Lepisosteus oculatus: one gene and its partner. The protein of the gene in region 1 interacts with the protein of each later gene in a biochemical or structural test. Links are inferred from orthologs where the notes say so. Each region holds a gene or a part of one and is shown in the gene's direction. Other genes may lie near its edges. The genes, in order: hdac5 and sik2a.

The links.
Region 2: of the proteins of hdac5 (region 1) and sik2a, one has a biochemical effect on the other in vitro, tested with the Homo sapiens proteins (2 studies listed by BioGRID). The link is inferred for Lepisosteus oculatus from reciprocal best matches to the Homo sapiens genes HDAC5 and SIK2.

Annotation. Positions count from the first base shown.
Region 1 is NC_090723.1:7,408,850-7,421,231, reverse strand, and holds the start of hdac5 (histone deacetylase 5), read left to right. Parts: upstream 1-7,282; 5' UTR 7,283-7,298; coding exon 7,299-7,481; intron 7,482-12,382. Other genes in the region: tut1 (speckle targeted PIP5K1A-regulated poly(A) polymerase), read right to left, coding at 1-100, 2,028-2,237, 2,838-3,028, 3,383-3,461. UniProt on the Homo sapiens protein: Responsible for the deacetylation of lysine residues on the N-terminal part of the core histones (H2A, H2B, H3 and H4).
Region 2 is NC_090718.1:15,493,672-15,505,671, reverse strand, and holds the start of sik2a (serine/threonine-protein kinase SIK2), read left to right. Parts: upstream 1-6,783; 5' UTR 6,784-7,153; coding exon 7,154-7,291; intron 7,292-9,343; exon of another isoform or gene 9,344-9,820; intron 9,821-9,878; exon of another isoform or gene 9,879-10,089; intron 10,090-12,000. Other genes in the region: layna (layilin), read left to right, coding at 1,159-1,203, 2,845-2,931, 3,225-3,327, 3,446-3,812. UniProt on the Homo sapiens protein: Serine/threonine-protein kinase that plays a role in many biological processes such as fatty acid oxidation, autophagy, immune response or glucose metabolism.

The DNA of each region.
Region 1 (12,382 bases):
TGAAGACCTCCTGCAACAGCGCAATCAAAAGCTCTCTCGTGCTGCGCTCGCTGTCCGACAGCTCAAACAAGTCCACCAGCATCTGCATCTGCTCTGCCACCTGCCAGGACAAGCAGACAAGCAGAGAAATGATCTCCTGCCGCAGTCTGCACCGAGCCAGAGGGAGCTGGTAAGCCAGTTCAAATAAGCTCCACTCTTAAAATGACTTTCCCCTTACATGGTATCTCTTTTGCGGTTGGACAGATTGGGCAGGGACGGGACTGGCAAACGGGACTTGGCGCTGGAGAACGTCTCCGTTTCCTTACACAAGGTGGCGACGCAATGATGAAAGAGCAAACCAAACGTGACGGAGAAGCCTCTTTGCAAACACTAGGCCAGAGGCTGAACGTTCTGCTTCGCCAATCCATCAGAGAGACAGATCTCCTGGTATAAAGTATGCAGCAGGGCCCCAGGCTTGAACGCTTCATCTCCTCTGTACTGCAGCACACCAACTCTGCACAGCACAGCACCCAGGGTCTGAGGCCTGGGAGACTAACATACTCAGAGGAGCAAAGGGAAGTCGCATCACTGCGACACCTCGCTCTACCCAAAGATCCTCGCTGCCTGGTGACTGAAAAACAGGAGCTGCGTCATACCTTACCACAAGCTCACAGCCCACGTGCTCCCATCTCAGTCGTCTCTGCCGACCGATGCCCGGAGACGCAGGCGGCTTTCATCAAAATAATCTGCACAGCATGCGGTACACACTACCCCTCCTCGCTGGCAAATCCACGGCCCGGGTTACTAATTCTCTCTTTACATCACTCTTCCGCACTTCTGACACGAGACGCCTCTTAAAAAACAACTTGTCCTTTCCTCTGGCAACTCCCCAAACAGTCCAGAGTTATTTACTCACACCCTTTGTAGACTCTGATCACCCCACCGGCGGTGCCCACTCACCTGGTGTTATGAGAGATGGAGGAATAACTGACTCACAACTAGGGATCAAACTAGTTTCAGAATTCTAGGAATAGGTTTTAAAAAAGCAAATCAGAATTACAACAGCTGGGAGGTCTAGCTCTCAGCCAGTGCTACAGCGCACAGCTCTGTGCTGGTAGAATCACCATCTTATTGGATGCAAAGACTTAAGAGTGACAATGTACAGACACCTACACACCTTTACACTTCCAGGCTGAAAAGGGAGCAGTATAGCCTGTGTCTGAATTGACTTTATCCACCAGAACATTTTAACTGCCTCTTGCTACAATGAATGAGTACTGAATAAAAAGTAAATGACTACACATAATATCACATGTATAGGCATGATTAGGATTCTGAATTTCCCAAGTTAAGAGTCCAACAACATACCTCTTGTATTGATACAGTTTAATACAGTTGAACAGATAATCAGTTCTCACTAAGTCTACACTAGACCCTAATTTGAGAAATTCCTCTGAGTTTATGGTGCTTATTATGACTGCCTGTAATTATTTAAACACTTGTGTACTTGTGGTTATTATTCATTAAAGACATATCCCTTCTGTGGAAAAGAACAGTCACTTGGTCAAAAGCCAGTGAGTAGAATATCTGGAATATATACAGAACATAGTCAAACCTAAATTGGAAAACTGAAGCACTAATAATTGAGTTAAACAAGCTTTGGAATAACAGTCTATCAGCATCACTTGTGAAATTGAAGAGAAAGTGCCTGGTGAAATCCAACGCAAAAAAACAGTTAATCTAAATGCAAGAGGTTTAGCATTTTTTTCCAACCAGAAAACTGCATTGGTAAAAGGTACATCATGTGATAAAAAAAGAACACCAAACATGTGTAACCCAACATATAATTGAGCAGCAAAAAAGACTTGTTTCAGACACTGGTACCTATAGATAGCACTATACTGTAGATCCTTTTAGATCAATCATGTTAAGGTGGCCTGATGCAGAATCCAGCTGAGACATGAAGAGCTCAGACAGTGCGAATAAACAAAAGCTCCAGCAGGACTGGAACCCGGCTGGTATGCAAGGAGAGAGAGAGAGAGACTCACAGAATTGGCCTGACAGAGGGCATGGGACAGAAGTTCGGGGTTCATCGAGGGGCTCTTGGTGACGTCCTGCTTCCGTTTGGGGACAAACTTGAACTCCTTGCTCTCCCTTTGCTTGATGCGCAGCCTCTGGCCCTCCATGCTGTGCTGGGGCTGAGACAGGGCTGCCTGCTGGCCCTGCTTGTCGCTGAACTCCACGATGGCATAGACACCCTGGGAGACACAGTTGGAGAGAAACAACAACCCACGTCCATACCTGGTCAGTCCCACACTCGACTCTCGGTTGTCCTAGAAACAGATTCTTCCCTCGGCCTTGCATTCCATGCCCTTTGCTTGGACATGAACTAACCCGTTACTAGACTTATGCTTTTTGCACATCTCTTGTTTTGTTCAGATGATACTCCTGCTTTCAGCAGATACCTGTAAAGGATATTTCTTTTGCCTGCATGACATCATTGTAATAACTTCTATTTAAACTGACATGTTAAGTGATGACTAGTTAGTTAATAATAATTCCTCACACTTTTATAGCGCTTTTTTTGGACACCCCACTCAAAGCACTCCCCTCCACCACCACCAATGTGCAGCCCCCACCTGGATGATGTGACGGCAGCCATAGAGCACCAGTACACTCCCCAGTACAGCCCTCAGTGGGGAGGAGAACAGAGCGATGAGGCCAGTTCAGAGATGGGGATTATTAGGAGGCCTTGACTGGCTAGGATGCCAGGGTAACACCCCTACTCTTTTCCAGAAACACCCTGGGATTTTGTCATGACCGCAGAGAGTCAGGATATTATATTTACAAAAACGCACCTTGTCCTTATCCATGATGACTTCGGACACGGGTCCGAAGCGTTGGAGATATTCCATGATCTGCTGCTGCGACGTCCCCTTTTGGAACCCGCTGACGAACACGCTGTTCTCCACCTGGGTCCGGCGAGTGTCCCGGACGGCGCACAGGTTCCGATGTTTACGGCCCTTCAGGTGGTCCTGAAGGCTTGTCCCTGCATAACCACACACGTTACACTCTAGATAAGCAGAAACGTGTGCAGATACAAACGAAACAGGAGCCTTGCGCCGAAACAAACACGGGCATGCATTTCAAACACACGGACGTGCATTAAAAAGGCTAAAGAAAGAGGAAAGCACGTACTGCCCAGTGTTACTGAAAACGCAGGACCAATACAGCCGCTTACTTTTATCATACACGGGCTGTGAGATTCCTTCGCAGCCATAAAACATTTTTTGAATCTATTCGCCTTAACAAAAATGAAATAAACTCTGTTTCTCAAACAATCATGCCACTGCTGTAAACTGCTCTGTAAGTAATGGTGCTGCGCAAACTTGACAAAACTTACTGTTTGGTACACTGACATCACACAAGTTGCAATGGAACCCTCCTTTCGGAACAGGCTGGATATCTGTATCTAACTCCATCTCGATCAAAAGCAAAATATAACAGAAATACGCTTAATCTCTTAACTAAATAAGGATTAAATTAAATCTCCCTCCCTTCCACGCACTCTCCCCTGCCTCATCCCTCCCATCATTTCGCCCCGGTATGGCAACAAAGATAGGAACTTTTAGTTCCGGAGGAACAAGAAGTCCACACGCGGAATTTGCAGAGTCCCACCGTACGAGGGAGACAAAGCTTTATAAAACCCAGCAATTCTCAGGAAATCTCACTGATGTTTTACATCTGCATGTTTTCCGTCTCACATGCACGGTGTATAACGAACAAAAAGCACTAACATATAAATACCACACAAAACAGTTTTATATACATATCACTGCGTCCTATCTGATCAGTTAAAGCTTTTTAAAAGAAAAAAAAACTCTACATTTTAAACAGCAATTTCAGGAGATCGCTAATGATAAAGAAATGTTTGCTCTTGTGTTTTTCTCCTTGTCTTGTACCATTAACATTTTATAAACATTATTGTTGTACAGAGGGGTGGCGGACTTTTTTTGTGTGATATCCAGGCACCAGCATCTCCGTGTAACGCAAACCACACTCTTTGTTTTCAAAGATACACCGGGAGGCGTCGTGGATCTGATACAAAATGGAAAAGAAAGCTCTTCGATTCCAAAGACAATTTCCTGTCATATAAGTAGTTGTGACTTTTTCTTCTTTGTGTGGGATCTATTTTTTCTCATTAAATGCTGCGAAGGGGGGAGATGGGGGGTTGACATTTAGATTTGGCTGTAGAAATCTGACTCACTTGTATGTGAGTCATCCCTCACTTACGAATATAGCGCCTCCTCCCTCTGTTTGAGTCGGAAGTGTCCGCCGATGCAGACAATTTAGCCTCGACCCCGAGCAGTAGGCTTCGTGCCAAAGCCAGACATTAGATAATCATGAAATATACCATTTTCATTTTTGACATATAACATTTTCATATCATTGCTTTCTGATAATCCTTTACTTCTAAAATCGATCAAACAAAAACATTTTGGGGGGGCTAAGTTAGACAAGGTGCAGAGTATTACGAACAGGCAGCAAAAAAACATTAAATACTGTACCAAGTAGGGACATTAAGTTTGAAAAAGCTGCTTTGTGGAAAAAAAGGAATGTGTAAATGTTGACACGCCATTTTCATCTTCCAGACAAAGTTGGAAAGCAATACAAATCAAGGAGAATCTCATTATATATGTTAAATTAAAATTAAGAGATATCATTGCTAAAATTGTCACTAAGTTACAAAAGAGAGAGCTATTTTACAGTGTTCTCAAGATGTGGGAAACTGAAAAAAGCTTCTCGTCCTTTTACCGAGGTTAGAGGATCGATGAGCTACGAACTACCAGACGTGTTAGATTTATGAATGGGCTCCTCTGGTTTCAGACCGTTCCTAACGCTGTAAAGTGGGTTTGGTGATTTGACTACTCTCAAGGACACTCGGGGTTAATAACTTCGTGATTTTTGTTAAAGTGGAGCACAGGCTGAGTTCACACCAGACACAATTAAGTTATAGGATTAAGATCAACAAAAACAAAAGAGTTTATTAGCAAAATATATAGTTCATTTTCCATCTCTCTTTGGACATAATTAAGACGGCAACACTTGCAGAAGTCTAGGTCATTTATCGTCTTGGGCTGCTACTCTTCTTTGTTTCAATACATAGAGCAGACGTCCGCAACGAGTCGAAGGAACGACAGATATCTTCATCTGCTTCCAAAGCACGAGAGCGCTACCGCCGGCATGAAAAGCGCCGCATCGCCATGGAGACGGGTCCTCATCCCTGACTCGCCGGCTGCTGTCCGGGAGCGCTGTGGGTGAGGGGACTGAGGCGGGGTCATTCATCTCGGCCAGCCTGCCACAGAGACTGGCATAGGAAAACCACGCTAATGGGTGAAAACCATTAGTATGTGCGAGAGAAACAATTTACGGGCATCGTGCAGGACGCTTTTTCGTCGAATGGAGCAGAGAGTGTCGAGACGCTTTTGCGTGCACAACAGGGTGAAATGCATTTTAATAATGGAAAAACTTTCCCCCCGCACTGACCTAACGCCCTGTTTTCTGCCACTATATCGAGTTAGAGGGTTGAATTGTAGCTACGCTCACGGAAGATGTTGAAGTGATCAGCGTGAAGGCGCTTTTGAGATAGTTTTCACCGCGAAACTTTGGGTTGCAGAATTGTGTAAGAAGACTGAATCTACTCCGGTGATCAGACTTATTATTTAAATAAACGGTTTTAGAAAGATTAATAATTTGATTTGTCTTAGCACATAATTCGTATCCCATATCCACGTCCTTTGATACTGCCAGAGGAAAAAAAATATTCATGTAATTGTCTTTTTTTTCAGTTATGTATCTACCTTAATGTTCTTTTCGATTTTCTCCTAAAAGGAGGCTTTGACGTCACAAAGCTGCCGTGACTCATTCTTTTGAAGAGCAGGGATGACGTCACCGCATCCCCGCAGGAGTATTGAGCTGTGTTGAATGAGGAAGCTGATGGAGAGCTTGTCAAGGCCCTTTTAACAGCCGCATGATGGGAACACGTGTTGCGTGTCTCTGTCCGCGCAGGCAAGGGCTCGCGGTGTTGCACAACGGTACTTAGAATGCCAGTCATGCTCCCGGCCCCGGGTAACCATGGCAACAAGCATCAAGCTGGAGAACGCATAGTGATGGCACCAATGCTTTCTCTCGGCCTCTGTCCTTTATCATTATGTCTCCATTCCCGAACTTATGTTCACAACTCCCTCCTTTCCCTCTCCCCCCCCAAACTTGTGTCGGCGGCGCGTCGTTTTCCGGCTCGGGATTCGTCGCCCGCTCCTCGGTACTTTTCATAATAAGAGAGCTCCGTGTCTCGAGGGGTCTCCGGGCCGCGGCTCGAGACTCTCAGTGAGACGTGAGACACAACGGGGGGACCGTCTGCACGGACAGGAGCTCGGCAGACTTTATAACTACAGGCGAGCATCTCAGCCACTTCGCTCCGATTGACATGACTAACAAATGCTGTCGTGGGCTTATGTCCAACCATGCAGCCGACAGAAACGCTCCAAAGTTTAGCAAGGTGGGAACCCTTTGACCTGGACCGGCCTGTGACTCGTGGCCGGGAGCATTGGAGTAGATTTAATTGCATGACTCTGAAAGTAGTCCATCCCTGACCTCGAATCACAGCATATCCCCACACAGATCCTCGGGTACTGGCGTGAACTCGCACAACTTCTAAGCACAAGGTCTAAAGCTCGGAAAAAAACTCAAACTACTGCAACCGGGCTCATCATGTTTCTACTGTTCTAACAAGTGCGGATGAGGCTAATGTCAGCGGGAAACGCTGAAAAAGAGATAGTGGATCGTGCCCGTTGTAAATCAGAAACACTGCGAGAACATATATTTAGCGCGCCTTGTGACGCATAAAATATGCTCACTCATTTCCACCCAAAACCCATTTCCATTTCCACAAAAAAAAGAGAACGTGCATCTGGTAAACGACAGACAACTGCCTTCAATGCAGCGCTACAATCGTGGAAATATATATTTTACTAGACGAGCATGAATCGGTGGTAACGTTCTCTCCGAACTTCAAAAGCCGCAGAGGTCTGCATCCGCGCCTGTGCCGAAACGCCGTGTCAACAGCGCAACATTTCGCTGTGTCAGACGTTGACTGGGGAGACAGACCACACGTCAGGAGCGCCAGTCGACGCGAGGTCTGCCACCATACTCAGGTGTGGGTTATCTTCCCACTGTAGGTTATTCAGTGGTTGCAGAGTCTATTTTTAGCACGCGGCCGGGGGGGGGGGGGGTCACGTGACGGGGGAGTGACGTCACGAATGTTGTTGTTGGTGGAGGAGCTGCCAATATGGAGGAAAGAGAGCTGTGACGGGAAAAAAAATACACATACATTTCTTTTTTTTTTTACCCCCCCAAAAAATACACACCAGCTAGCGCATCCGCCGTCGAAGATCCGGACATCTCCTACAGAAAGGCAAACGGGATATCTCCTTGATCATCAGGTAAAGATAGTTTGTTTACTGACACTCATTTTTTTCGGACCGTTCTTTTCAATTGCGAGTACTCGTAACTAAGCGGGTCGGTGCTACAAAAAAATGCATTTATTCAAGAAATGTATCATTTAAGCTTTCACGGCCGCAGCGAGACCACGGTTTGTGAGTATTAACAAGCATTCGGGGGGGGGGGGGACGCGTTTTCCCAGGTGCTGCCGACAGCGATATACACGGATAAAGATAACGATTTGTTACAAAAACAGCGGTCATTTCCTTCTCCAGAATTAGTGCAATTTTTTAAAAGAATTGTGGTAGTGCGCTAAATACGACGCGGTGGGCAGTGCGGTGGTCATTTCTTCGAATGCCGAGTGACTCGTATTTGTATCGGCGGCGATGGCAAAAAGTTGAAGAAATATTCGACCGAGACCCTCGAAAGTCTAAGCAAGGAAATGAATTGACTGTAAATATGTTTTTTTTTTAAGAACTAGTGAGAAAGGTGGACCAAATAAGTCCACCAGATAAGTGAGCAAGTTGCTGTGAGACCGGGCTGTGGTTAAAGATGTTGAGATGATGTTTGTCATGGGTACATAAATCCGAGTTCTCTGTGCAGTGTCTTCATCGAAGTGTTAACACTTTTTCCAGTTGCTGGGTGTTAGAGAAACGACCAGAAACCGGTGGATGCAAATAATATTTCTGCCTTCCTTGTCTCGTTCCTGCAGAACGAGCATGTTATCCGCATGATATGTGGATTTTTTTTTATTTTCAAGTGTCAGTATCTGTTTGTCTCAGTTGTTGCGGTAATTTTTAGATCTCTGGATTGCCAGACGTGACCGGGGGGGTCGTGCATGCGTTAGGAGCTCAGAGCCAGCTCGCAGAAGATGAATTGAGGGGGTTAGCCATATTCATCCATTCTGGGAAAACAGAACATGTAAACTCCACACGCAAGGATCCGAAGTCCAGACTCAAACCCAAGATCTAAAGACCACCTACACCTGCAAGATGCCCACTCCCGGCAGTTTTTAAGCATCATCTATTAAAATCATTTACGACACTCCTGTATGCAAAAACACAGCAAAATATATGTTTATGTAGAGGTCACTGAAACAAATCCGCTTCAAGGAAATGTATCTATCTCTTTTGAAATTTGAATCTCCGAGGTTTTTTTTTAAGCACCGATTTTCTGACCAAGGTCTCACAAAGACTTCTGCACTTGAGAACGAGGGGAGTACAAAGCCAGTGTCATTTAGAAGAATCTGTTCTGGGCAGTATGAAAGCAGGATGGTGGTGGACACGCTGTGCTGCTGTTTTCTTTAAACTGACAGGGGAATATTTTGGAAGATATGGCGTCGCAGAAGTTCGTTACCTCTAGTGTGCCTGGTTTGTGTTTTCTGGACACTCAGCAAATCCTGCATAAACACAGGTCTCAGGCAAGCTCGGTATCATTGTAACTGTGAATTTCAGAGGCACCAAAAAAATAGCCACTTGTGTATTTACAGCCGTGTATTTTTGTATTTATTCACATATTAACTCAGTCACTGATTCAAAATGAAGGAGTCCTAAATGAAACAGACGATCAGCTACATCCAGTGTTTAAAATAGCCCTTGAGATTTGTGGGAGAGTGCAGATTTGCTTAGGAGCACCTAGAACAATCTCTTACTGTATATTCTGCTTCCGACAGAACAATAAATTGTCATCTCCACTGAAAATGCCTTTTATTGACCTCCAGAATTTTTAAAACTGACATGCTGTGTGTTTGGAATTGAGAAGTGTACCTGCTGTAGTGTTAGCTATGACCTTAAATAATATTATACCTCTGTACAGAATGAGCCTAGTTGTGTCTGTGTTCCTGCTTTCCATGTCCATGTTGACACAGGATGGTTCTGTTAGTTTCATAGTAACATTTCATTCTGCTCAAAAGATGCTGCTCAAAAAAAGGAAGAAGAATTTCTATTTGAGCGCAAAGGACTCTGTAAGAGGTCAGTCTAGGATTCTGCTCTGAGATCAGTTTTTTTGCCTCCTGTCCTTTGGAAGCTGCTGTGCCTCTTCCTGCTTTATTCAGAAAATAAAGAAAAGAGATTTCAAATCCTGGTAATCCAATTGGTGTTTTATTGGATTTGCAGTTGTGTTACACTACAGATGGAAAGAAGTCAGGCATTCGCAAGGCAGAGGTTAAATTACTTTATAGCATGTTTTTGATTATTTTTTTCGGATGCCCGTCATCTGCAGGGAGCGAAACACACTGTGCTACGTGATTATTTGTCTGCATAGATCTTTTTATTCTGCCTCTCCTGCGATTACTTGGTAACTTGATTTTAAGCACGTGTCCTGTGTTGTGTTGACTGCTATTGTACTGATATTTTTCAGCAGTATAATCTCCCAGGATCCCTCTGTAAACAGGACCTGCGTCTCAGTGGGTTAACCTTCCTAGTTCAAAACATAGATCAGCACAGGTCTCTCTCACTGGCGCTGGTGTGAGACTGGTGCGTACAGAGATGAAAAAACACTCGCATAGCTGGGGAGAGACGTTCCTGGTTTAACAAGTTGCACGCTCTTGTATATAACCCTGTAACTGTTCGTGTTTCATGATGATCATATTTTGAGCATATTATTCTAGGTAGAAATGGATTTCACATTGTTTATCTACATTGTCAATGCACTTGTGCACAAGCCAGCCACTTCTAGAAACCTGAAATTTCTGTGTATGTGGATCACGGTGCTATGCAGTGGGAGCCTTAATTTCATCTCTGCAGGTACTGTAGGCTCTATCTCGGGTTTTTGTGTACACAAGAGAGCAATAAAAATGTTGTATTCTTGTCAGTGTTTATGTCCACTCTGCAATCAGATCTCTCTGCTCCACGGTACAGAATACACCGCAGACAGATGCACTGATCAGATGCTCTGACGTCTGTATATGTGTGACTTAAAAGTCAAAGGCTGCAGAAGTTAATATGCTGATCGGCCTTGAGATCACGCATTTATGTTTTCTCCTGCTTAGAAAACAAATTGGGCAGTTGTCTAGTAACCACACTATCGCTGGAGAAGACAGCTGCTGGAACATCTCAGGGTGAAACAGCAGTTGATTCAGTGGCTTGCATTTGCAAAGGCATCTGAAAATGTTTAAACTGAATAATGAAATTAGCCATTTTCTTTGTAAATGGCAGGATGGCCTTGTAGTTCTAAGATAGCACAGGCATGTCAAATCCATTGATATATTTGTGTGTGGATTCTCAATGGGAAGGCACAGTGGTACAGTGTTCAGTTCCAGACCTGGGGTGCTATCCGTGTGGAGTTTGTATGTTTTCCCCATGTTTGTGTGGGTTTCCTCCCACAGTCCAAAGACATGCGGGTAGGTTAACTGACTTCTGGGAAAATCGACCCTGATGTGAGTGTGTGTGTGTCTGTGTGCCCTGTGATGGACTGCCATCCAGTCTAGGGTGTACCCTGCCTTGTGCACGTTGCTTGCCTGGATGATCGGATTCACAGTGTAAATGTCTTTTGGCTGTTGGTGGTGATGTCTTTCTGTATATTTTTGTGAAGCACTGCTTATTGCAAAAGGCCAATTGTATTTTAAGTTAGAAAGGAATATCTACTAATACAGACCCATCCCTTTAAACGGAGGGGCATGATCGCATATCAGGACCTGTTGTTTTTATTTAGTAATTAGAATCAATTCACTTCGTTTTTAAAGCATGGCTGGCAGTCTAACATTGTGGTCGGAGTAGAATGGTGTCTTTTTTTTTTGTTTTGGAAGCAAGGCTGCTGTTTCGAGCTGTTCGATGCCCCGCAGATTAAGGAGTAGCTAAACAGCGCAGACTCCCAGCCATCTCACTTGATTTCATTTTGGCAGAGACGCAGCACAGCCCGCTGTGGCTCCCAGTCATGTTTGGAGGCTTTGCGAGGGGAAACTCTCTCGATGAGGCCCAGTGGGGTGGCTGGGAAGAACGGACCAAGTGATGAGTGCAGAACCTTCAACCATCTTGGGACAGCCTGTCTGGAGCAGCACGCAGAACACAGCAGGCTGTGTGTGTGCTTGCATGCCTGTTGTTCTTTAGAAGAAATGCGAAGGGAGCTCAGACATCTTTCTCTCCCAGCTGGTGTGAAGCCCCGCGGCGAGGTTGAAGGGAAAGCCTCTGGGGGGCTAGTGGCTTGCAGGGTGCTTGCGTCCTGCCCAGCTAGAAAGCAGCGTGCAGCGAGTTGTCTGTCTGCAGAGGCCCGGGCAGTGGGGCGGCACGGTGCTGCCATTTGGCGGCCTGGCCGCGCCAGTCTCCCAGATTTGGAGTTCGGCCGGGAAAGGAGTAAAATCTTCAGGGCAGCGGAAAGGCAGGCACTGTTCTTCCGATTGCAGGGGAATCAAGTCAACAGAAACTCTGGGCGAAAAAAACCCCAACAAGCCCCAGCAGCAGTCTTGCCCTGTTCCTGTCCGCCAAGGCCAGGATAATGTCAGCCCGTCGAGGCGTTCCTTACTGAGAGAGAGCGCAGCTGGTGGCAGCTCTCCATGAGGCCAGGACAGTCACCTGCAGCAAGGGACATGCCTGGGCTTCGTGGCTGGAGTGAGGAGTCAATGACTGGATTTATTTTGGGCCTAATAAGTAGCGTCAACTGGCCAGCAGCCACATCGCCCTGCAGCTCACAGCATGCAGCCCCGCTGAAGCTCAGTACCTGGATGGGAGGCTCCTGGGAAGCTATGGTTGCTGCTGGAAGAGCTGTTAGTGGGACCAGCAGGAGGTGCCCACCCTGCGGTCTGTGTGGGTCCTAATGCCCAGGTATAGTGGTGGGGACACTATACTGTAGTGGGTGCCGTCTTTCAGATGAGATGTTAAACCGAGGTCCTGACTCTCTGTGGGCATTTAAGATCCCCGGACATTTCTCGAGAAGAGGAGGGAGTTATCCCGGTGTCCGGGCTGAATTT
Region 2 (12,000 bases), on another chromosome or scaffold:
GGGGTCACTGAGGCAAGACAGTCTTGATCTCATTTTGAAAATTAAGTGGCAAGTGGCGAGGAAAACTCTTCACTCAGGTTAGGTGTGGTCAAGCAGAGTCCTGTATTCGTGCGCATGGGGAGGATACAGTCATGCAGACCTGAGAGCAGCCTGCCATACAGATCTGTGAGTAACCTCTCCACCGAGATGGTAAATGCAATGGGTTTTATCCAGCCAATTCACACAGGAAAGCTCATTCCAAATGCCCAAATTAGGAGTTGTTTTTCTCTCTACAAACATTTCTTTGTAATTGACCACGTTATGCTTCAGAAGCAATTCTACCTTGTAGGCAGACAAAATGAAGTATATAAATACAAGGTGTGAAATTTAGCTAGACATTCTGCAGTTTCTAGCTTTAGCATCAAAACATCAAATAATATGCTTGCAATAGTTCTTTCATACTGTTGCTAGTTAAAAGGGATTTTTCAAAGCCAACTTGTCACTATCTTATATACTTACAAAAAGGTAAATGTTAAAATTCTTCCTCACAAGCAATGAAGGGACATGGCATTTGTCTGTGACCTGACATTTGAGCTGCGAGGAGACCTTGTGTTTTTTCGTCTTACTAACCAACCTCTCAAGGGTCCTAATGCGGGAGGTTTTCCCGATTGCATACTGTTTGTGTTGATGCTGTCTTTTCTTCATGTACAGGAGCCACACTGGTTCATTAACAGAATCGCACATCTTTACAACAATCTTAACATTGTACCTCCATTCCTTCACTTTTTTAACCAACCTAGACTTGACACAAATCACGGCTGGTGGCTGATGGGCGATCATGAGGTTTATCACTATGAAACTTATTTGGTTAAATCCAGAATGTCATTCTTGTGTGCATTTTGTCCGCGTTCATGCGTTTGTTTGGCCATGTGGCCAGGATTTTGGGCCAGGAGATTCGCCTATCCTGGCCAACGGTGGGAAACCCTGTAAGGCTCTGCTTTCTGAAGCTGTGTGTCAGTAACTCTTCACCTCACTGGGGAAGGGTCATGGGCAGAACTGAGGCTGGGCTGGTCAGTGTGTGCTCCTTAGGCTTGCATGTCTGCTTCGTACCCATTGCATTCGCTCACACTGGGCGGGGATCTGAGGTATAATCTCTACCTGTGTTTCTGATCTTTGCAGAGAAGGGGCCTGTCTCTACACCCACTGCGAATTCCACTCATACTGGTAGGTGCACTGACCCTGCACTGGGGGAGACACCAGGGGGATGGTGGGATAGCACTGGCCGCAGGGGTTGGCAGCTTGTGTAAAGACCTGTCCGTCCGTCCCCCCTGAGCTCGGAGGACCATGGCCCCCGTGCTTGTGGCCGGGAGAGAGGTGGGCAGTGTGAACCCAGGGCTGCAGCACATTTCCCCCTTCACTTAATACTCGGCCACACCCAGACCATCCACCTTCCGCCCTCACCCACTCCCTCACACAGGGCTTTCCCACATCCAGGGCTCCACCTGCCTCCGCGAGACAGCTCCGCGGGCTTGAGAGCCGGAGACAGAAACCTCTGCGCCAGTGGGAGAGCCAGAGACGCAGGGAGCCTGGGGCTGTGCTTCCCGGAGCCGGGCTTCACGTTGAAGTCAAGTGGCTGTGCTCCGAGGATCTGGCCTGGATGCAAAGCAGCATTCCAGCGCTCTTTAATGTCACTGGGGACATCTAGTGGGGGGCTGAGGAAATCGCAGTTTCAGTCAGCTCCAGGTCAGCTGGAGTCGAGCGGGGGTAGACATGGGCCAAGAGCGTTTTGTTTCCGTGTTTGTGTGAGTCCACTTTCTCATTTTGAATTCGATCTGATCATGTCCAACCCAGTTTAAATATGGTGATTGTGTTTATTCATATTAATATATATATTTATAAATTTGTATTCAGAATGAAATTCATGTTAATAACATAAGATATGAAAATATTATTATAGCCAGCAGCCATGTCACCCACAGCTCCCAGCTGGCAGCCCCACTGAAGCTCAGCAGTGTGAGCCTGGCCAGTACCTGGAGGGGAGACTCCTGGGAGAGCTGAGGCTGCTGCTGGGAGAGGTGTCAGTGGGGCCAGTAGGGGGCGCTCACCCTGCGGTCTGTGTGGGTCCTAATGCCCCAGTACAGTGATGGGGACATTATACTATAAAAATGTGCTGTCCTTCAGATGAGACGTAAAACTGAGGTCCTGACTCTCTGTGGTCATTAAAAATCCCAGGATGTTTCTCGGAAAGAGTAGGGGTGTTACCCCGGTGTCCTGGCAAATTTCCCCCCTGGCCTTTCCCAGTCATGGCCTCCTAATAACCCCCGTCTCTGAACTGGCCTCATCACTCTGCTCTCCTCCCCACTGAGAGCTGGTGTGTGGGGAGAGGACTGGAGCATCATCCAGGTGGGGGTACACACTGGTGGGGGTGGAGGGGATCCCCATGACCTGTAAAGAGCTCTGAGTGGAGTCTCCAGAAAAGCACTATATAAGTGTGAGGAGTTATTATTATATTCTGGGGAAGTTGGTTCAGCTCATCATATCCGGGGTATTTTAAAATGACCCAGTTGCAGAGCCCCTGGTTGCTGTTGCTCCAGTCTTATCCCTGTGGGGAACAGTGCCTCCTGCAGGGCGGGCGGGCATGCCCCTCCCAGTCTCACCACTTCCACTGTGAACTGTGGGGGAGATGGGAATGGGACGGGAAGGGGATAGGAGTGTTCACTACAGGAACAGAAGGGTCTGTTATCAAACTCCTTTTATTTCCTACTGCTAACAAACGGCTATCTGGAGAGAAAGGAGGCCACCCACTGGCTGCCGTGTGTTTCCAAACCCTTACCTTCTTGTTCTTCTGAAACGCTCGTCTTGCAGAAGCTGCAGCTACGTCTCCAAGGCCAAAGTACCCTCCGGTCACGGACAGGGAGGAGAAGGTCGACGTGCTGATGACCAAGTCAAAAGGTAAGGGGGCGTCCCGTTGCAAGGAAGGGGTGCTTTTGAAAAACAGTTGGTGCCAAGTGAGCTTTACGGATAACGCCCACATCCTGCCCTCGGCCTGCAGGTCTCCACCGACCTGGCCTGGACTGAAAAATTGTAATTTCCCCCCTGGTGTCCCCGGGTCCTTGTTGATCCTGAAGCTGTAGATTGACTTGGTCCATGCCTTTTATATTCCTGAGTCCCGGCATCCAGCCCCTTCTGTTTTCCTTCTGTAAAAGACCGGAAAGATTAAGCTCCTTCCGATGCTTCCCTCGCAGACAACATCCTCAACATCGTGTACATCGTCATCCCCACCATCCCCCTCCTGCTGCTCCTGCTGGTGGCCACCGGCGTCTTCTGCTTCCGGCTCTTCGCCAGCAGGTAAGAGGCCCTCCGCCCTCCTTGCGCCAGTCCCGCCCTCCGCCCTTGAGGTCCACGCAGCTTGGCGACCCGCGCGACCCCGCCCGCTGACCCCGGCGCCTGTCTGCTTGCCGCGCAGGAGGAAGGAGCGCACGGAGGCGTGTCACAAGGAGCCCACCCTGTGGATGTCGCCGGACCGCGCCAGCAGCCCCAGCCTGGACGTGTACCACGTCATCCGCAAGCAGCACGAGGCCGACCTGGCGGGCACGCGGCCGGACATCAAGATCACCTCGTTCAGGGGCTCCTCCCCGGCCGGCGGCGCGCCCGACGACCAGCTCTCCAGCGACTACGACAACATGGCCGGCAACACCTCGGAGAGCGGCTTCGCCACGCTGGCCAGCACCGAGAGCGGCTTCGTCACCAACGACATCTACGAGACGTGCCAGGGCCGCGGGCGGCCGAACCGGGAGTCCGGCTGGGTGGAGAACGAGATCTACGGCTACTAGGCCCCGCCCCGGTCCCCCCCCCGCCATCCCGCCGCCCCCCAAAACCAATCTGATCTTGCTCTCGCGTATACGGGGCAGCTGTCGCTGCGCAGAACTCCCTGCTGGCTCCGTTATCGGCTATCCTGCTGCAGATGCAAGACCTGGAGAAGTCTCCGGGTCATCGCCCAGAGTGTCGGCCTCAACAGCCCCAACAACCTCTGCCACCCCCACCTCCGCAGGCGCCGGGAGCTGTTCAGCTCTTCCGGCCTTTTTTTATCAACAGACCCGCCAGATCCAGACGCAGTCGCCAGCTGATGGAGAAGAGAACTGCTCCTGACCGGCAATTGTATCTCCCCGACTGCTCTATCCGGACTGGAATACTGCCCCAGAGGGAACCAAACACACCCATGGCTCCTTCGACAAATACTCAGCTGCTTCCGTCTGCAGAACACGGAGAAACCGTGCCAGGAACCCCCGATGATACAGTGCTGGCAGCCGCGCCTGCCTGGGTTTGCACCAGAAGGTCTAAAGACCCGCGCGTGCGGACCCCTTGCGCAAGCCCACTCCCAACTCCGGCCTGACGCTCCCAACAGTCCGCCGGTGCCCGACCGCGCGCCCTGCACTCTGGAAGTCGGAAAACTGGAATGTGTTTGCTGTATCCAATCATGTACACGGAACTGAAATAAACAATGAGAACAACCCAGTTGCCTGGTGCTTGTGTATGTGAGTGAGCCGCGTGCGCCTCTGGTGTTTTGCAGGGCCGTGAGTGGACGCCGGCCTGCAGGGGGCGGTGTGTCGCAGCTGACGGACCAGGCAGGGGACGTCGTCGCCCCCCCCCCCCCTCCCCCCAGATCAGTCAGGTGACGATGCACATCTCTTCAGGGGGCCAACAGGGTGGGTGGAGGCCCTCTGAGGAGGTACTTTTCTCACAGACATTCGCTCACAGACATTCTGGGTCATCGGATTAGATGCTCCACATTGATACCTCTGACACTCGGGCTCCTTTCCCCTGTTCTCTGAACGGAGTTGAAGCTCTTATCTATTCATTCCACAGAATGATTTAAATCTGAATCCAAATGCTGCTTCTTGGAAACTTGGGCAAAAAAAGAACACATAGGTGGGAATTATGGGGAAATGCACTTAAAAACAATACCAGGAGGCACTTCTTTCCTTACGCAAAGGATCGTGGGAGTCTGGAACAAGCTGTCCTGTCCTGCTGTTGAGACCAGTACTCTGGTTTGTTTCAGGAAATGACTGAATGAGGTCCTGGGATCATTTACTGTAACTACTAACTACCAGGTGGCCTAACGGGGCCGGTTGGCTACTTTCATTTGTAGCTGTTCTTGTGTTCTTCTGCTCACAGCAGAGCAGAAGGGATTCAAAAGAACTGATTGGGTGTGTTAGTGGAGAGGCATCACCAGGGGAACTTTGACAGGCAAGAATGTCAGTCAGTTCTGTTGCAAATTGGGGGGGCATTAACAACTATTATGGTCCAGTGCTTTTCAATAGGCTTGATTAAATGAATATTTAATTTGCACAAACGTTAACAGCTAGGGAGGCCCAGTGGCCCAGTGCCACTGCCTCTGCCCACTGCCTCACGGCGCTGGGGCCCTGGGTTCAATTCCAGACCCGGGGGGCTGTCTGTGTGGAGTTCGCATGTTTCCCCAGTGCTCATGCTGTGCTTTCCTCCCACAGTCCATGCTGGTAGTTTCAGTTGCTTCTGGGAAAACCGGCCCGGGTGTGAGTGCGTGTCTGTGCCTGTGTGCCCTGCGATGGTCTGATGTCCCCTCCAGATTGTACTCTGCCTTGTGCCTGTCTCTGGCTGGGATAGGCTCCAGCTTCCCGGCTGAACTGGAAGAAGAGGTCAGAAAATGGATGGATGTTAACAGCTAGTATTTCTACATCAGAGGTGATAAATACTAGGAACTGACCCTGTGTTCTAGTTTCTTCCCTGAACTGCATTCTTACGTAACTGAGCTCAGTAACTTGTCCATGTGGCTGCGGAACAATACACAATAAGGCGTCTGGGGGAAGTCACTCTGTGCCCGAGGCCGATTCCCCACATCTCGCCCCCCCACTGCGTGCGCTCTGCCTGCAGTACCCGCCGGCCGCCGGCAGGGGGCAGCGCTCCCCCGCCGAAGCCGAGTGCGGGATCGCGGAAGAGAAGACCCCGCGGCGGCCCTGGCTGTGTCGACAGAGGCTGCAGCTCAGCGGGTTGACAGTCAGACTCTACACGCAACAATAATGTTCGAGTCTGCTTGCGGGTCCAGGGTGCTATTCAGAGCGAATTAAAATTGCGTTCTGTGTTGGGGGAGACAGGCATAGATACGCGTGCACGTTTCTTGTTACATTGTTTTGGTTGGTGCTTTTCGTGTAGGCTTAGGATCGCAGGTAACTCGGAAATACTCATTACAGCGGCCTGAATAATTGAAGAATGCAGCAGAAACCTGGGGCGAAGCGCGGGGTGCAGGGAACATTTTCTTCTGCGTGCTTCAGTGCGGAGCACAGTACGAACGTGGCAAAATAAAATAAAAACAACACCGTATAATAAACTTCACCACGATAAACTGCCATTATAACACAACAGGTTGTAGCTACAGCGTTTGCGACCAAGACAGGTTGCAGCCAGACGGCACTTCAAAAGAGCGGGAGTGCTCGGCGGACACGCTTAAGATCGTCTACCTAACACAGAGGCACAAGGTCAACAGTATGTTAACAGCTTTGAAATGCACATTTTAAAGCCCTCCCCTCCAAAAACAAAACAAAACAAAAAAAGCTCCGAGCCGCTCAACAAAAGGTATTATCACAGCTCCCATCTGCAGACCCGCGGCGAGCGCGCCGGCCGAGCGCGCAGATTGACAGCTTTTAGAATAGCACTCGCCGGCGGTTGACGTCAGAGGTGGATCTGGTCGTCTTGGAGACGAATTGGCACCGGAGTGTGGAACGGCTTCAAAGGCCCGCCCCCTGTACAAATACCCCCAGCGGCTCTGACGTCAATGGACGTCAACCAGGGAACACGATGCCTTCTGCTCGAAGTCAGCCCGTGCAGTCTGCCCAACAGGGCTGAAACATTATAGCCCTTTTGTATTGGAAAGGGCGGCGTGACAGATTCCTGTCCCACCGGTAAATGTCCTGTCTCCCTTCGGCTGGACTGAGGACGCTGTCAACCTTCAAGCTGGCTCGGGAAGCGGGGATTTTACTGCGCCTCTTTTTAATAGACAGTTCCTAGCGCCCGGCTGGGTTTTTTTTTCCTGCTTCTTCGTCTTCTTCCTTGTGGCTCAAGCCGTGCGGTACCCCGCTTTTCTCTCTCCCCCTCTCCCTCCCCCCCCGACCCTCGACCCTCTTCACCCCTTCGGAACAGCATGGTCATGGCGGATACTCACCAGAAACCGACGCACCGCGGTCCGGTCCGGGTGGGCTTCTACGATATCGAGCGCACTTTAGGCAAAGGGAATTTCGCGGTGGTGAAGCTGGCGAGACACCGCATCACCAAGACCGAGGCAAGTACTGTGCAATGGACCGCGGCTCGGCTCGGGTCCGCTCGGGTTCGGCTGTCACGGCCCGGGCGCGGGGTCTGACCCAGGCGCGCGGGCGGCGCTCGGCTGCAGCGTCGTGAACTGAGCCGGAGCCGGAGCCGGAGCCGGAGCTGTGCGGGGCGAACTCTCGGACCGGGTCAGCTCGTACACTGGCGTGCTCAGAAACCCATTCACACCCCGAGCCCGCCGCCAAGCCGGGGAATACGGGCTGCAGTTTTTAAAGTGGAGCTGGGGGGAGGACTGCCGGAGCCGGGGCGCCCCGAAGCTGTGGAAGTGTCCCGGAGTTAGTTCAGGGCAGGGTGAGGCCAGCTGCCCTGCGGCTGCAAGCCCCCGGTCCGGGCTCTAGAGTCGGCGGCACAGCCGTGCAGAAGTTGCACGGCTGGTGAACATTTGCACACAACACCCCTTGACTGTCACGACACAGCGCCGTGAAAATAATGAGACATTGATGATGATAATAACACACACCGTGAAGTTTAATTTCAGACTAGGAGACTCAGCACTGGGAGCAGGTCACTCTCGGATATTCGTAACTGGGTTTTGCACGACAACTCGCAAAGATGAAAAAAAAAGGGCTGCGCTCGGTCCGCCGGCTTATGCAATGTGACAGGGCGATGTAAACAGCCGCGGTTTTGGGGGCATGGTCACTCTGAGCACGGAGTTACATAATGCTCATGAATGATATCAGGGGGAGAAAGCACATTTTCTGTCCCCCCAACGCCTGTGCTGGCGGCGGCGGGAGTCTGACAGGGGCAGCCCGGCTCCTGTCGGGGTGTCGCGGGAAGTAGCGGTGCCAGGGGCGGCTGCACACAAGCGCTCCGGCCGCAGGTGTCCTCTTATAAAGCGGCACTGGCGGCAGAAAGCGCGTTTTCCGTCTCCCTGGAAGTTTGTGTTTGTGTTCCGGAGAAGCCGAACAGACCTCTAAGAGCGCGCAGACGGCCGACAGTCGCACTGAAAGACGTGTATCGTGATTTCTCACGCTCCTCGTCTTGTTATAATGATCGTTGTTGTTCTGTTTTTGCTGCTCCGGGTTGCCTGCCCGGCCCCCCGCACAGTTTGTCGTCACCTGTGAAACAACTGGTCGTGTTTGAAGTTTCCCGTGAAAGAAGATAAAAATACAGTAAATACACTGAAACCCGATTGTATCACTGCAGTGGTAATAACAAACCCGCCCTAATAAGAACTCCGTCGTGACACCAGGAATAATAAAGAACTGTATTTATATAGCGCCTTTACAGGTGGCTTCTCAAAGCGCCTTTGCAGAACGACGACGACACAATACACAAGATATGCACAATGAGAATACACAGTGAGAGGAGACAGTAGTGGGGATACTGAATACAGCAGGAGCAGAAGCAGTTCTGTTCAGTCCAGTCCTGTTTAATTCATAAAAACGAATTAGCGTGATATTTAATTGCTTCTTAGTGTTTTTTTTTTTACAGTTCGGATAACTATAATAGACTATCAACCTTTTTTGTTCAGAACATGCAGCTCGTGTAAACTATTAGCAATTAATGGCTGAATTTGAAGGAATATTATATGTTGTACGTCAAATGTCAAGACTACTCTTGTTACACGTGTCAGCGGGCAACTGCAAATCTGATTATTAATTGCTGTCTTCTTTAGGCTAATGAATTTCCGTGCCCTGTGCTGCTGGCTGCACTAACAACCCCCAGGCGAAGCTCTTTCTTGGCGGCGTGGCTCATTAGCGTTCCCCAGGGCCGGGGTTAAAGGTCCCCGGATAGCAATGTACTGTAGGACCGGAGTAAGCTTTTAATTAAGAGACATCGCTTTCTGTATGTTTCGGGGTGGGTTTTTTTGTGTGTGGAGTTTTCCAGAGCAAGCGGCGATCGCCTTTTTTGTACGCGTTCTTACACTTTCACCAAAAGACGGTCCCCAACCCCCCGGAGTGGCGAAGGCAAATATGACCGTGTTGGGTGCGTGAATTTGCCCAGAGACGGACGACTTTCCTGCTCGGTGCCGAGCTGTGATTGTTAAGTGTCTGTCCTGTGGAGCCGGAGGTTGTTGACTTTTTCAGGTTTGCGGGATTAAGATTATGCTCAGTCGCCCGTGTCAGGATGCTCCTCCGGGCTCCCTGGAGCACAAACTTGGTTTAACGTCTGAGATAAAAGGTAGAGATGTGGGTGTGATTTGTTTTTGTTCCAGGCAAAAAACCGGTGAGATATGTTTTTGACGCGACACCTGGCGCGATTGAAGTGTTTCATCCCACAAGTGTCCACAGCCTGTAGCGCCTCCGCTGCGTCACAACCGCGACGTTACAACGGCCGAGAAGCCGCCGGCGTTGAAATGGCGGGGTTTGTTCTTGATAACCCAATAAATAACCTCCAGTGGAGAGCTTAATGCGCAGCTATAGACACTGTAAGGATGCAAAGGCTATTCGAGGAATGAGATCAAATTATTTTATTGCGTTAAACCTTAATTTGTGAAGCACGCGAACGAAGAGAAATAAAGGTTTTCCAAGGAATTCGTTCGGTAATTATCGTTATTATTATGTAGTTGTTTTAAAGAATTGTTTGAAAAGAGGTTGTTTGTGACGATGGTATTTTCTGAAATTGGCAGATATTTATGGAGAGAACAGCTGCCCCCACCGTGACTGTCCTGCTTTGCGGCCCTGAAGTATCTTGATTACAGAAGTGATTGTCTCTACCCAGTCCCTCCCCAGAGCAGTACGGTCGGTCAGCGGTCCCTGGTCCCTGTGGATCTGTGTGGAGAGGAGAGGTTAGGGAGTGAGGCCTTTTGAGGTAGCTGAGCGAGAGGAGAGAAGGGGTTCTGTACTTTGGGGTAGATGGGTAACCACACTTTGTTGTTGTCTGTGCTGTACTGTAGACACACAGACAGAGCTCCTGTTGCCTGTGCTGTACTGTAGACACACAGACGGAGCTCCTGTTGCCTGTGCTGTACTGTAGACACACAGACAGAGCTCCTGTTGCCTGTGCTGTACTGTAGACACACAGACAGAGCTCCTGTTGGCTGTGCTGTACTGTAGACACACAGACAGAGCTCCTGTTGGCTGTGCTGTACTGTAGACACACAGACAGAGCTCCTGTTGGCTGTGCTGTACTTTAGACACACAGACAGAGCTCCTGTTGCCTGTGCTGTACTGTAGACACACAGACAGAGCTCCTGTTGCCTGTGCTGTACTGTAGACACACAGACGGAGCCCCTGTTGCCTGTGCTGTACTGTAGACACACAGACGGAGCTCCTGTTGTCTGTGCTGTACTGTAGACACACAGACGGAGCTCCTGTTGTCTGTGCTGTACTGTAGACACACAGACGGAGCTCCTGTTGCCTGTGCTGTACTGTAGACACACAGACAGAGCCCCTGTTGCCTGTGCTGTACTGTAGACACACAGACAGAGCCCCTGTTGCCCTGTGCTGTACTGTAGACACACAGACAGAGCTCCTGTTGCCTGTGCTGTACTGTAGACACACAGACAGAGCTCCTGTTGCCCTGTGCTGTACTGTAGACACACAGACAGAGCTCCTGTTGCCTGTGCTGTACTGTAGACACACAGACAGAGCTCCTGTTGCCTGTGCTGTACTGTAGACACACAGACGGAGCCCCTGTTGTCTGTGCTGTACTGTAGACACACAGACGGAGCCCCTGTTGCCTGTGCTGTACTGTAGACACACAGACGGAGCTCCTGTTGCCTGTGCTGTACTGTAGACACACAGACGGAGCTCCTGTTGCCTGTGCTGTACTGTAGACACACAGACGGAGCTCCTGTTGCCCTGTGCTGTACTGTAGACACACAGACGGAGCTCCTGTTGCCTGTGCTGTACTGTAGACACACAGACAGAGCTCCTGTTGCCTGTGCTGTACTGTAGACACACAGACAGAGCTCCTGTTGGCTGTGCTGTACTGTAGACACACAGACGGAGCTCCTGTTGCCTGTGCTGTACTGTAGACACACAGACGGAGCTCCTGTTGTCTGTGCTGTACTGTAGACACACAGACGGAGCTCCTGTTGTCTGTGCTGTACTGTAGACACACAGACGGAGCTCCTGTTGCCTGTGCTGTACTGTAGACACACAGAGCTCCTGTTGCCTGTGCTGTACTGTAGACACACAGACAGAGCTCCTGTTGCCTGTGCTGTACTGTAGACACACAGACAGAGCTCCTGTTGCCTGTGCTGTACTGTAGACACACAGACGGAGCTCCTGTTGTCTGTGCTGTACTGTAGACACTCAGACGGAGCTCCTGTTGCCTGTGCTGTACTGTAGACACACAGACAGAGCTCCTGTTGCCTGTGCTGTACTGTAGACACACAGACAGAGCTCCTGTTGGCTGTGCTGTACTGTAGACACACAGACAGAGCTCCTGTTGGCTGTGCTGTACTGTAGACACACAGACAGAGCTCCTGTTGTCTGTGCTGTACTGTAGACACACAGACAGAGCTCCTGTTGCCTGTGCTGTACTGTAGACACACAGACAGAGCTCCTGTTGCCTGTGCTGTACTGTAGACACACAGCCAGAGCTCCTGTTGCCCTGTGCTGTACTGTAGACACACAGACAGAGCTCCTGTTGCCTGTGCTGTACTGTAGACACACAGACAGAGCTCCTGTTGCCTGTGCTGTACTGTAGACACACAGACAGAGCCCCTGTTGCTTGTGCTGTACTGTAGACACACAGACAGAGCCCCTGTTGCCC